Mytilus edulis: one gene and its partner. The protein of the gene in region 1 purifies or fractionates together with the protein of each later gene. This does not show direct contact. Links are inferred from orthologs where the notes say so. Each region holds a gene or a part of one and is shown in the gene's direction. Other genes may lie near its edges.

The links.
Region 2: the proteins of WD repeat-containing protein 76-like (region 1) and lymphocyte-specific helicase-like purify together in Homo sapiens (affinity purification with mass spectrometry; 4 studies listed by BioGRID and IntAct, counting the BioPlex papers as one, with this or other methods). This does not show direct contact. The link is inferred for Mytilus edulis from reciprocal best matches to the Homo sapiens genes WDR76 and HELLS.

The regions. Positions count from the first base shown.
Region 1 is NC_092350.1:66,305,074-66,312,915, forward strand, and holds the start of WD repeat-containing protein 76-like, read left to right. Parts: upstream 1-4,834; 5' UTR 4,835-4,928; coding exon 4,929-5,012; intron 5,013-7,842. Other genes in the region: uncharacterized protein, read right to left, coding at 1,726-1,753. UniProt on the Homo sapiens protein: Specifically binds 5-hydroxymethylcytosine (5hmC), suggesting that it acts as a specific reader of 5hmC.
Region 2 is NC_092357.1:53,594,296-53,601,461, forward strand, and holds the start of lymphocyte-specific helicase-like, read left to right. Parts: upstream 1-4,154; 5' UTR 4,155-4,385; exon of another isoform or gene 4,386-4,442; intron 4,443-6,089; 5' UTR 6,090-6,109; coding exon 6,110-6,115; intron 6,116-7,166. UniProt on the Homo sapiens protein: Plays an essential role in normal development and survival. Involved in regulation of the expansion or survival of lymphoid cells. Required for de novo or maintenance DNA methylation. May control silencing of the imprinted CDKN1C gene through DNA methylation.

The DNA.
Region 1 (7,842 bases):
CTTCAGTACGGAGCCTTGGTTTATACCGAACAGCCAGCTATAAAGTGTCCCAAAAAATTACTAGACAAAGTGTAAAACCATTCAGACGGGAAAAACCAACGGTCTAATCTATATAAAAAACGTAAAACGAGAAACACTTATAAACCACATCAACAAACTACTGAAGATCAGATTCCTGACTTAGGAAAGGTGCAAACAGTTGCAGCGGGTTTAAACGTTTTAATGGTACCAAACATTCACCCTTATGTGAAACAATAGTGTAAACATTGTATATTTAAAATACCCCGTTATAGATAGTTAAATCTGGCCCCTTCCAATGCAAGGCGAGAAAAAAACATAACCAAATTCAGACAATTTTGCTGAAAATGCAACCCCGTTTGTCGGAACATACCCGGTATCATATAAGTATATATAGCGAGTACCCCCCCCCCCCCCCCCCCCCCCCCAGACCCGTGTAGATGTAGAATAGCCATTGGGGAAGTGTCACACAAAACAACCATTTCATGTATAGATTTATATTGTTGAAAAAAGGTGTCCAAGTCACCCATTGGATGGGGGAATCAGTATAAAAAGAAATCAGAGTATATGTTTAAGTAATGAATATGATAAATTGCCATATTCAATACAATATTAGCAGATTACGATATTTAAAAAAAAAATTGAAAAGGTACGCCATTACGCCCTTACCTGGACCCACCCCTGACGATTATAAAATATATTTACGGCATAAAACAAACTTACAAAGTGTTACAATAATTTCAATAGACTGACAATTCATTTAGTTTTGTCTCACTTGTTCTAGTTAAAAAACGTAACAATTTTCTCTGTTGAGTTCTGGAAAATATTTAAAGTTTAAAGTAAATGTGTTTGCTTTCCATTTGATATTGTGTTGACCAACTGACCAAGGTAAAACGCCTTTTTGTATCTACCAGGACATGTTAAAACAAAGCAGTCACTAAAAAAGTGAAAAAAAGTCAAAATATATAATTTTCGAGATATGATTAATTTAATATTTGATTGAATTTGTCTTGTATTTAAAATAATCTATACATAATTGTGCCTTTCAAACATACAACTTATGCGTTATGATAATAATAATAGAAGGTTTTTCCTCATGGGGGGGGGGGGGGGGCTCGGATGTCTTCCTTCATCTTGGATTTTGAAGTTACAGATTAGTCTAGATCTGTAATGAAACGTGCAAATTTCTAGAGTGGTACGTAATTCACGTGTAAGACTTTTGATGTAAATAAAGAAAATTATGTGTTTTATCATATTTACCACTGTAATTTTTAAATAAACACCAAGTTTGTTTTGATTCATTTTTTTCAACTTTGCCAAATAAGGGGAGATAACATAGATAAAAGGAGGGATAACTGGGATAAAGTGTTTTATAATAGAAATTATGAAAAAAAAACTATGGATTGACTTTAATTGTTCAGTTTCAGATTTACCTTGGTATACAACAGGGACTTTCTATACTAACGGGACTGGTCACTTATAACAATTTATATTAAAAACTAATAATAATTATATCATTACAATGTACTGTGAAATACGCAAATAACTACTAGCTTCGTATATCAGAGATACGAAACTAAGTTTATTGTTGAGTGGTAGCTTTAAACAGGCGGCTTAGTAATCAGTCAAAATCAATAGAGACGAGTCCAGTTAGCATAGAAAGTCCCTGGATACAATAAAACTGAAAAAAACCTGAAAAAAACTTACCTTTGTGGTTTTTGTAATTACCAGACATTTTGATTCTGTTAGAAAACACTTTAGCACAAGTCTCCAAGAAATAAATGAATAGCCAGAATAGAAATAATTGTAGTTTTTAAATGTTGGCTATTAATTTGATGAACTTGATTATTCATGTGTTGACTTTAAAATTAATCATGCAAAGGCTTGACTTTTATGTTATAATTAACATTGTAAGACTTGAATATCTAAATTGGAAAGATTAAAGATTAAAGAAATGTAAATTAACTATCTAACAGGAATGCAGTTGCTAACCTTACTCCTGAATTACAAACTATATATAAAATAGAAGACGTGGCACGATTGCCAATGAGACAACTCTCCACAAGAGACCAAAAGGACATTAACAACTATAGGTCACCGTAAGGCCTTTAATGCATGTTTTGATAATATAATTATAACTGAAATATTACTGAACATAAATTACCGTTCTTGACATAGCACACATATTTTGACACTTGCGCACACCATATATATATACATTCATATTAGGTTTAAAGTCTGGGGTATGACACTTGTTTTCCATTCGTTTGATGTGATTGACCTTTTGATAACTTTTCACCGAGTTTGTGTCAAGACATTTCACAGTTTTACGTGTACAACACTCTGTAACATGAACTGAATACTAAATTTAGGGATAACTTCTCGTACGAATTCATTTTGACCTTTCGGCTTTAGGTCGGTTAATCAAAACATGTATGCAGTTTGTCCTACAAATTTGTATTATATATCCATAATATATTATATCATGTCAAGGTATAGATTGGCTTGTCCTGTGTGTATTATTTAAAAAATAAATGCATTTAGAATAGCGGACAACAGATTAAGTCTTTTTTTTTTAATTCGTGTCATACATGTCAATTAAAGTATCGAATCTGTTAATATTGCCAACATCTGTTTTCTAAAGCGTAGTTACTTCTAAACTAGCCGTATTTCTTTAAATTTTAAAAATTGGTAGATTTGCGGTCATACTATAGTACTTGTTGGTATCCTTAAATCGAGCACACATAATTAAGCCACCTTGCAAATTTACAAATTGTTTTCTTCATCAAGATGTGTTGTGATTGCCATTGAGAAAACTGAAATGAAGAAAAATAATGCCATTCTATTTATCAATAATCTAAACAGTAAATGAAAAATTAATAAAGAAATATCATGATACACTGAAAAACCCGACAACCACTGAATTACTGCCCATCCTTCTGACTTAGGACTAGATCGCACTTACAAAATGTAACGGTGTTAAACTTAAAACGTGTTAGTGTTTGGTTATCCTCCTTTCAGAATGATATAAAAGTTAGGAGAAGTGGTATGTTCTCCAATTAGATAGACACATCTCCACAAAAGACCAAAAGACAACGTCACGGCGCGGAGTTACCAACTTAGGTCACCGTACAGTCTTCAACAATGAGCAAAACCCACAACGCAATGTCACGAAATAACGAATAAAAAACACAAGAAAAACTAGAAAAACTAACGTTTTTTATACAAAAATAATAAACAAAAAAAATATATGTGAAACAGCAACAAACGACATCCACTGAATTATAGGTTCGTGACAGGCACATTTTACTGTGCGTCTTGGTGTGTGTTTTCTTCTACATTGGCTAGAGAGTTTATTAAACATATTACAATAATAGATTAATTGCGATATACTTTATGTATGTAATGATTTGGCAGTTAAACTATTTTTTAAATTAGGTTATAATATTGAACGGAGACCGTGTGGTTCCTCGTTTTGTGGCACATTTTATATATCGTATTAATGTTAAACTACTAATAATCTGAATAATCATAAAACAGAATTTGATTAAAATTTGAGTATTCAAAAGAGGGGAAAAAACACCGGGCAGTTCTTACAACATTCTTTTTCTCTAAAAATTACAAAATCTTCCAAAAACAAAACTGATGTATATAATAATATAAATGTATGATAATTCAAATGTATAAAGGTTAGACGTATATCATATTTAATTTATGCAGTGGGGTGCACGGTCACCGGACGTACATACATTGTAACACCTCTAGGTTGGAAATCATATGTCAATGATACAGAAATCAATAAAAAAAAATCCATATATATATATTTTACCAGTTATAGTTTTTTTTTCAGTTTGAATTAAGAAATGTGTCATTCTTTTTCCAATACAAAAGATTAACCTTGTGGGTATGCAAATACATATTTTTTTTTAACAATTAACTCAGTGTTATCAGAGTCCCAATCGGTGTTGATCCTTTTATTTAGATGTTTGAAATAAAGTGACCATGGTGACAAAATCCTGTTAGATTTTCAGCTGGAAATTCTTGTTAACTTTCTTTTTGTTACTCAAAATCAAATTTAAATCTATTATATCTCACTGAAAGTTCCGGAATCCGCAAAAATCATTTAGTTAATTATAGCTATACATTAAATGACTCGCCGGAATAATTTGTTTATTAAAGTGTCACATATTGAGTGCAATAAAAAGAATTCACACAGTCACATAATAAAGTACACATGTATAGTAAGACACTATTCACATCCTTGGTTTATTAAATCTATCTTTTTCTTATAGTAACATTTGTTTACCAGACATTTATTTTGAAGAAGATATTTAATTTTATATTTTGATTTTGAAATAATTTCAACAAAATTTCTAACGTGAAAGGCTACTGTCCTGGCAGATTTTTTTACCTTTAAAAGATGAAAAAAAATATTAAACCATAAATTTTTAGAATAAATATTCCATAAACTTTATAATCGTACAAAAATATTATGCCAGACAGTTGTTTTGGAGAAAATATTTCATTTATAAGTAAACTTTTCTCGGCAATTTCAGCCATTTTTTTCATAATATTAAACTGTCCTGGCAGATTTTTTTTTAACTTAGTTATTTTTTATTTTTATTTTCTTTTACAGATAATATAAGTAAATATCCTGTTCTTTATTATACAATTTACATTTTAACAATATGTTGAGTAAAACGAAAGTTACAGATAAAAACGTATCGAAAATAACTGTCCTGGTTTTATCTGTCCTGTTCATAGACCTTCCCTGTGTGAGGTGTTCCTTTCTGGGGATATTGATACGAAAGAAGAAGACGAAATAATGTTCCGAATAAATTCCGAAAGTACTGGCGGGAACTGTTTCATAACAATTTTTTGACGCGGTTTGTAGAGAAAACATCAACAACATGCCAACCTCTAGGAATTTTTCAATGAAGAAAAGAAAAGCTGCAACATTATCTCCTCCCGTCGTTATTTCAAAGCGGAGCAAGGTGAGCTCAAAATAACATATTTAATTGTACCAAGGATTTGTATAGTAAGACTATACAAAATTTTCCTTGATCAGGTCAGGAATAACCACCAATTGGTGGATTATACCTCAATTGACGTATAATCCACCAATTGAGGTATATTGGTATAGACCAATTGACGTATAATGCAATTTTTTTGTAATAAAATGCTAGTGTGAGAAAGGAGCATGATTTTGCAACTTGCAACATATAATTTTTATGACCCTTATAATTTGAGTCCTCCGAAAGTTTCAGTTTTGTCAAAGCCTGCTGCATCTCTTGAGAATGCATGTGTACAACAATTCTTTTGTTGAAACATTTGTCCAGTCTGGGTGCTTAAAATATCAGTACATCAGAAGGGTGATTTTCACCCTCAGTGTTCCAGCTAGGTTTTCAAAAGGGCAGGGTGTCAATCCTGAAAAAGGGCATTTAACGCGCGATATGATAATATGAAAAGGGCATATTTTAATAAAAGATGTTAATCAAACATTTGTGTTTATTCGTTGAATCACAGGTTATACAAGAACAACATCTTTAGCCCATATAGAACTCTATCTTTCTACTTTTAAGGCTGAAAAACTTGTCAAGCAGCTTGTCACACAAGTTTTTTTATCATTGCTTGGCACAGTTGAACTTTATATGCAGTATGTTTTGAAAGGAGATCTGTTTCATACTGTTTCTATGGTCTACCACATTTTACCAGTTTCACCTTTCTACCCCTGCTGTGCTTGATAGCAATACAGCACAAAACAGCTGTGCTCAGGAAATTCACAATTTTAGGATATAAAGCAACAGTGAAAAATAGTATCAAAAATAAAGAATACAGAAAAAGATGACCAAGGCACCCTACCAACACTGCTACTAAGACCCTCTTTAACTTTTCCCATAACTCAAAATAAATACCTAAACATATATATTCTTAAGCAAGAAGTATGGAGACACATTTTAGAATATGTAAATGGGTTACTCAATGCTAGGAAAAAAATCAGATTGAGTTATCTTTCTTTATTCGGGTGTGCTCCTTCTTTGGAGGATTATAAACAGTACGTAAATATGATGTAAATATGATCACAATATGGCGGCCGATTTTGTTATTTTCGTATCAAAAATGAAGGCAGTCAATCGCAAATACGTCTGAATTTTCTGTTTATTTTACAGAAAACAAGTAAAACAATGTCTTCAACGAGTTTATAATGGTTTTCCAACTTTCTGTCATTACGTTTCTTCCATGAAACTACGGTAAACATCGCAAATTGTGCCCAAGTTGTTGTATGCACATTTCTTCAAAGATAATTGCCGACTGACCGATTCTATTTGAACGAATTAATGTTGATGATCATTAATGACCCATCCGATAAACGGATTACCTATAACAACAGATTATGACACCAGTTGTAACCATTGATTAGCTTGGGGTGGTAAACAAAGTCATAATCTTTTCCCCAGGTAAAATTTAGTAATTAGCGTATCATATCAATACGCAAATTAATATGCAAAAGGCAGGGCGCCCTGGAAACTGTAAAAAGGGCACAGGGCGCCACTCGGAAAAGGGCGGGCGCCGCGCCCTCTGAAAACGGCCTAGCTGGAACACTGACCCTCTCACACACATCTCTGGTACCCAGACTGGAGTTTAAACTAGAATGGGTACTTTGGGGGCCTCAGTTGGTCAAAGTTGTCCCCTACTTTGACCTGGAGATCAATCTTCTGATATCTCTCTGGTTTGTCGTGTTTCCACCGAGTGGCCCGGTGTTTCTTTCCGAGTACTTCGGCTTCCTCCACCATAATAACAGACTTCCCTGTGTCCTACACTCTCCCTTGGGGCGGTGTTGGGTGGGGATTGTTCTGGTGGTAGGATAATATTGTAAAGGACACATCTCCATTAATCCTTAGGGAGTGTACATGGATCCGCTGTACCCTTGCAGTCAATCAAGGGGTGCGTCTAAATTGGTGGAATCTCGAAGTACATATATACATACATACATACATTGACAGGTGATTACAGGTAAATTTGCCAATCAAGAATTGACAAGATAACAATAGAAGAAACTACAAATACAATTATTGATTAAATTCAATATGTTATGTCACTATACTAAACTAGGAATGTTTGACAAGTTTTCATACCATAATATGGTTTTAAGAAAACAATGCTCCATTTTGGTAAAATAATTTGTTTTGAAAAACAAAAAAAAATACACCAATTGGTCTATATCTTTATATGTCAATTGGTGGATTATACGTCAATTGAGGAATAATCCACCAATTGGTGGTTATTCCTGACCTGTTGATTGTACTAGTATTAATTTTGCAGTAGTTTTCTTTATATGTTTAATGCCTATGGTTGGCAAATTTTCTGAAATACCATCATTACCTGCTTCAGTGCTAGTTTATTAGTTTGATCCTTGGTAATCTTTCAACGGAATAATCTAAATCTAGCAACCAATTCATTTTAGAAAACTGTCTAACCAAAAGTTGCTACTATCATGACATGACCTAGTCCAAATAATTATGACGTCTGGCAAGGCTATTTTAATTTTTTTTCTGGGACACCTTCCTACGACGCCATAACGCTGAAGCCATGTTTTACGTCTGGAGTTTGAGAGCAAATTTTGGGGGGAACTTTTGACACCTAATAATTTTTGACATGAAATTTTCATTGCCGGTTAGAAATTTTTACGTAGTTACAAAGCAGTCTGCACGGTTAGCTACATATACTAGTCCATTAAAACTTCATTCGGACTAGTAAGTTTTTGCAAAACTTTGTTTGGACAATTAAGAAAAATGTCAGAATATTGGTCTTCAGACTAGTAGT
Region 2 (7,166 bases), on another chromosome or scaffold:
TCGCCGCGGTTGACAATGTTTTCTCGGGACCCAATCTGCTCTATCACCCTCTCAGCTATGTGTTTTTTATATCTTATCACATATTTGTTATGGATACGGATACATTTTTAAGATTTACCTTTTATGTTTCATTAAATTGTTATAATTGAACTTTTTTCCCCTCTTTTCTGCAACACTTAAATATGTGATAAAAAGCTTAAAGATTATAACATGTTTTTCCATATTTGCCCTGGTATCATCCCTCGATCCATATCGGCCCTCGGATAAAGCCTCGAGGCCGATATGGGAGTCTCGGGATGATACCAGGGTTAATATAGAAAAGGGCATGTTATAATCTATACATATTGATTTCATCCAAGAATGGTCGCATATATCATGTGGATTCTGTTTAGGTTGTCATGAATGACACTAATTTGTATCTAAATTGGTATTAACCAGTATATAAATCAGAGATAAACGTCGTAATGTAACTAAACATCAGTAAGTAAAATATATTGGGATGCTAGAATATATAAAGAATAAAGAAATAATAATGAGTAAGATAAAATAAAATGTAGAGAAAAGTAACAGACAATTTAAAGAATATAGAAATAAACAACACCCCCAATCCGGACCCTCATTGTATACACGAGAATCTGGATGGAAACACAGAAAATATAGAATAATAGATAAGGAGAGTAGGAAGTGATGCATTAATAAAAAAAAGATAGAAAAAAATAATAACTGTTTGAGAATAAAGACATGAAACTTCCCTGGGTGTTGAAACAGTAACGGATTGCTATGTACTCATATTGGTAATAAATGCTGAAAGTTTACATGCGGACAACTGCAGTTCTCCTCTGCACTTATGTAGAAAGGAACTAAACGGAATAAAATGAATTAAAACTTAAGATAACCAAATGTAGCTGCATTCGCTCCTTTCCATTTACTTCTTTAGACTGATTTGTAAACAACAGATGATTCAGTAATAGAAGAAAAGAACCAATCGAATGATGTTGACGATTTAGAGTTTAACGTCCAGTGACAAATATCATGTGCATATGAGAACGACAACACGTTATATGTACCCTGTGTTGTATTAGAAAGACACTTTCGGACGGATTTGAAAACGTGCTACTTTGAACAGACACAAAAATTAAGGCTGAGGAAAACGTTAATAATAGATTCATGCATATTCCAGCAGGCAATCCATATCCATATATTGAAGTGACACACTCCTTAATAAAATGCAAAGGAAGTCAAAATAAAAATGTTCTTACTAGCGTATTGTCATTTTTTTTACTCAAGAGCATCTCATTCTTAACTTTTTCAAAGGGAAAATATAAAGGTAGCACAACTATTGTCGTGGCTAAATAACTCTTAACTGACACAATTTCAATTGTCCAACCCATTAACAGACTTTATTCCCATAATGTTCACTAAAATGTGGTATTACTGACGTTATATTACAATTATGAAATATTTACTAATTTCAATTTATATTTTAGAACCAAAGTACGATTTTGTGTCCTTTAAATGATATCTAAAATTGTTTTTTTCGCCTTTCATTACAAAAATTGCTATGCGTATAAGCATAAATACTACATACTTGCGCGACGCCTTTTAGTTTTACTGAAAACTGCGCAGACTATGAAACGTTTTTACAGTTGGAAAATGTTCTATGATATATATCATTTTGTCAGACACTTTTCTTTTTTTGATTTGATTCTTATAATGTACCTAAAATCTGTATATTAAATAGATTTCAATATTAAAATTGTGCGTTTTACTCTTAACAGACGTATAACCAACCCGATTAACAGACCAACCGCCGATATAGCCGCATACTCAATATAGATTAACCGACTATCTCTCGGTTAGCCGAGTGTCGGCCGTGAGTATATAAGTAATTATTTTATTCTTTATGATGACAGTGCACATTTTCTACGTACTTTTTAAAAGTAAATATTTACTCTTTACATAGAACCTGCAGAAAAAAATCACTGTATTGCAGGTGCCTGTAAAATAGCCAGTTCTAGAGAAATATGCTTTTTTGCCGACTTGAATAAGGACATTTTAATCAGAGTCGTCATAATAGCAAAATTGCTATTTTGCAGGCACAATTATGTGCGACTTCTGACGAATCATTATAAGGATATTTTGACGAATCACGGCAATATTTTAACTTACGCTAATAGAAGCCGAAAATTACAGTTTAACGAATAACGGTAAGTGGTCAGTGGCAGATCCAGAAATTTACATAAGTGGGGGCCCATTGACTGACCTAAGAGGGGCCGCTCCAGTCACGCATCAACGATTCCCTATATAAGCAACCAAATTTTCCCCCAAAAAGGGGGGCCGGGCCCGGGCCCCCTGCCCCCCCCCCCCCTAAATCCGCCTCTGGTAGTGTTCACTTAAACTTTCAAGGAATAAGAGAATAAGAAAAACAAATTTGTCTATATTTGATTTTTTTTATTGATATTCCCTGAAATCATATGTAAAATAATTTGTCTATCATTTGATTTTTTTTAGTGATATTCCCTGAAATCATATGTAAAATAATAAGTAAAATGTTCAGTGATTATATTTTAAAAATGGCTGGTAATTTTCAGGGATTATATATAATCACTAATGATTTTACCGATTCTACATAATCACTGAAAATCAGTGATTCTATATAATCCCAAATGGTCTATACAAATTCACTGTAAGTACTAACATATATATAGAAGAGAACATATTTTATTTCCAATTTAGGGTCCACAAGGGGCATACAGAGCATACACGAATAAGGAAAAAGAATATTGATTTGCATAGATACATAGATATAAACAATTTTTTTTACATACAGTTACAATACAATTACTAACTCAATTCACTTTAATAAGTTTACCAACAGCATTAAGGACCTGATTGTCTTCACAGTTTAATAAATAAATAAATTTATGCTGATTATCAAGTATAGAAAAATTTGGAATTCTTTGGCAAGCAAAGTCAAAGAGAGCATCTCTGTCTGATTTAAAATTTTCACAGTTAGTTAAAAAATGGATTTCATCTTCAACACAGCCAGAGGAGCATTTTTTGCAAATTCTTTCATTTCGTGGAATATTTGAAAAACGACCTACTTCAATTTGAAGCTTATGAGCAGAAATACGTAATTTGCATATAGATCTTCTAAAATCAAAGTTCTTAATTAAAGAAAGATAATTTTCATAACCAAAATTCTGCTTAAATTTCACATAATCAAACAGTTTTCCATCAGAAGCTTTATTTTGGCTAGCATACCATTTGCTAATATATTTACTGTGAATTAATTTGCTAGATATGTTCAAAAATTTATATTGTCCGAAATGTTTTACTTCTTGTTTAATTTCAAAAACTTCTAATATTTTTTTTTAACAAATGAGAACCAAGAAGTTATGCTAGCTATAGATTTGTGAAGCTCTTGGCTGCATTTATAAGCATCTTTCACTAGACTGAATTCAGTTGTAAGATTTTCAAATCTATACCAGTATTTTACAATTTACTTTACAATATCATAATGTAAGGGGAAACGCCCCAGTTCTGATAATACAGCAAAATTGACACTCCTTTTGTGTACATTTATATATATATGTGTATAAATTTAGAAAATTTAAGATGGAGATTCTCACACTTAAGATTTTTAAAAATATTTTCAAGATTAAATAAGGAAGACTGTAATTTATTACAAGAGACATCATTTCGTGTTTTTAAGCCTGGGATTTCGGGATTTCGTATTTTTAAGCCCGGGAATTCGGGACCAGGACCCTTCCTACCCTCCCTCACTATTCTTGAGGCACAAATTAAATAATTTATATAAGCAACCTATCAAATATGACTGACTATATTTTAACATTTCATTTGAAATCAAATCAGGTCCACAGTCCTTGGCGTTGCATGATTTTAAGCTCGCAATAGCATCAGAAATTTCTTATATATCGAGGTTCTTTTAACATGTGTGTGTTTTTTTATATATATTATTCATTTTAACGGTTTTTACTAGTCAGAATTTATAAGATATTTGTTAATTCATTCTGGGAACTTATATTTTAATCTATATTTTGAAAGTACAGGGTACCTGGTCCCTGGTTCACTACAGTAAACATCACATGACGTTTAATGCGTGGGGCGAGTTGGCTCATGTCTGTTTGTCTAATCTGGTTACCAATGGTCGGGATACAGGCTGTTAATATCCTAGATGGCGGGAAAGGCTGACAAGCAGATTTATATATATATTATCAGCTTATTTACATTGTAAAACTTAAACACCTGGTGATCGCTAGAATTTTATTAAGTTTTCAAACGCACACAAATACACACAATATACCTCAAAAGTTTTTCTTGGAGACATAGCTTAGGATACTGTATGATTTGATTTTAACGTGGTAAGATAGTTACGATGGTTATGCAAGACATGGAGACTGGATTAACAGACTATAAGGGTATCCCCATCGTGCTATTGATAATGCATTGTAACGTAACAATTTCCATTGAAAAAGCCAGAGGCGGATTTAGGGGGGGGGACCCCTTTTTCGGAAAAAATTTGGTTGCTTATATATAGGGAATTACTGATGCGTGACTGGAGCGGAAGAATGTAGGACAGAAAGTCACAGGACAAAAAGTCACAGACAAAAAGTCACGGACAAAAAGTCACAGGACAAAAAGTCACAATTCTGTTTTGAGATAATTTTTCTTTGAACATGAAAAAACTTATTTTGGAATAATTTTTTTTTGTATTTTTCTTGAAGTATCATATATGAAGCACCTTTGTTGTTAAAATGTATTCAATAAATATCAATAATCATCAAATAATTGTCTTGATTGTTATGAAAACAAAATGTCAATAGTGGCTTGGCACTTAAATGGCTTCATTTTGCCAATAAATATATCCTTTTCGTGATTAAAATTTAATATAAGCAATTTCCCTAACTAAAATGTGAATATATGTAATAAAAAGAAAACATATCAAAATATATTGTTTAAATTGTCAACAAATTATTTGTGACTTTTTGTCCTGTGACTTTTTGTCCTATCAAATTTGTGACTTTATGTCCTGTGACTTTTTGTCCTGTGACTTTCTGTCCGTTTACCGAGCGGAAAACCCCCCCCCCCTTTTAGGTCAGTCAGTGGGCCCCCTCTTATGAAATTTTCTGGATCCGCCACTGAAAGCATGCATAGTACAAATTCATATGACGAACAAAAACATGATCTGACAGAACACCCTGGTAGCCAAATCAGAACTGTCGCTCTCGCTCTCGACTTGTCTCAAAAATATTTTCTGGTCCAACCTAGAAATTTAAATCTTCTTTGCTGATTAGAAGTTTTTTGCAAACATTTGTAGTTCAGGATCTCTTACCTTTTATGTGCTTATCATGCTTATTGATATAGAAATATCCAGAAGAAAAGATAAAATAAGTTACAATTTCAATAGAAGTGAGCAAATATTTACTGATTTCAAAATGGTTCCCTGAACTTCCAAAATACGTTGCTTCTGAAGAGTATGAAATATCAAGATCGGAACAATTTGGCAAACCTGAATTTTCGGATAATATAAATCCATACAGTCCGAGGACTTACTGGAATCAGTGATTTTTAAATCACTTATTTGGGTAGCAAATTCGAAATTTTGTCACAAATTGTGATTTCGTTGTTTTACCAAAATTTTAAACACATAGGTTTAAAAAATATCTTTTCATTAGTAAAATTGAAAAAAAAAATGTTTTTGCTTCTTTTAAGAATTAATATTCACTTCACTTGATATAGGGTAAAAATTGGTTTGTCACACTTTTAAAAAGTTCTGCTTGCAGGATAAACCAAGGGGTTAAACATAGGTCACTTTAAACATGTCATTTTAACTTTAAACTATAATATTCAAACAAGTATTACACAGCTGTTCTCATCCAGTTAGAGCCCTCAAGTACTGGCAGAAGGTTCAGTTAAATGGTTCCTGGAAGCAATCAATGTCATGTGTAACTTTCTAATTATAAGTTCAAAGAAATGTATGTTGTTTTTTGTTCATATCAAATATTTTCAAGTATGTTATTTATTGTTTATATCAAATATTAACATGCATATGTTGTTTATTCCAGATTAAAAAGAGAGATCAAGTATGGATGTAAGTAGACATTTGTACAGTATTTATGTAAAAATGATTAAAGTTACAACTAAGAAATAGTGTGGGAAGGGTGGGAATGATTAAGGTCAGCAACCTACCAGTTTATCACACTGCCCACTACCACTGTCCTACATGTACATGAGCTGATAAACAACAGATAATGACAAACAAATGTAACTTATATAAACTATCTGATCTAACAAATGTATGAGAGTCAGAGACACAAAATCATCATAGTACAAAAAACTACTATTCGGTATAGTGTAGGGCCAGGCCACCATCAGGGAATTAACAACAGATTTCTTTTAATAAAAACTTAACTGAACTCTCCTTTAAAAATCCGAAGTGAAAACCCTCAAACTGACATAGGTTTAAAAAACTAAATAACCCTTCAAAATGCCATTAGAATTTGAACTAGTTTTTGCATCAATGACCAATACATTTCTACACTTTCATGACTTTAGAATGGGAGACATCTTTTATATATAAAAAAAATTGAAGGTATAAAAATTGAAACATTTAAAAGAGCTTTAAAATAAAGACTGTTTTCCACAAAAAGAAAACCCCTAAAAGTAAGTTTTGTTCTTGAAAAATTAAATATGTTGGTAGTTACTATTGTGCAAATGTTGAGGCTTTTACATGTTATCATATTCAAGGGGCCTCTATAGCCAAGTGGTTTGAGTAGATCTTGTACTGTATTAAATCACTAGCCAGTCAACACTGAGCTTGTGGGTTTGAACCCTGCTTGTGAGGGTGTACTTGACTTCAATCTTAATTGACTAGGATTTTTAGTTTCCCTATCGACAGCAAGAGTTTTTCTCCTGCACTCCGACTTCTTCGCCATTAAATACTGGCTGCCATGAAATAATCCAAAAGCCATGCTTAAAAGTGGCGTTAAAACACAATCAAATCAATCAAATTTAATGTTATCTTAAAGTTATTCAAGATATTTCATGCTTTTCTTTTCTTTTAATACGACCACTCAAACATTTTTTGGGATCGTATAATGGTATGATGTCGTCGTAAGGGCCAAAAAGGGGCAAAAACTAGC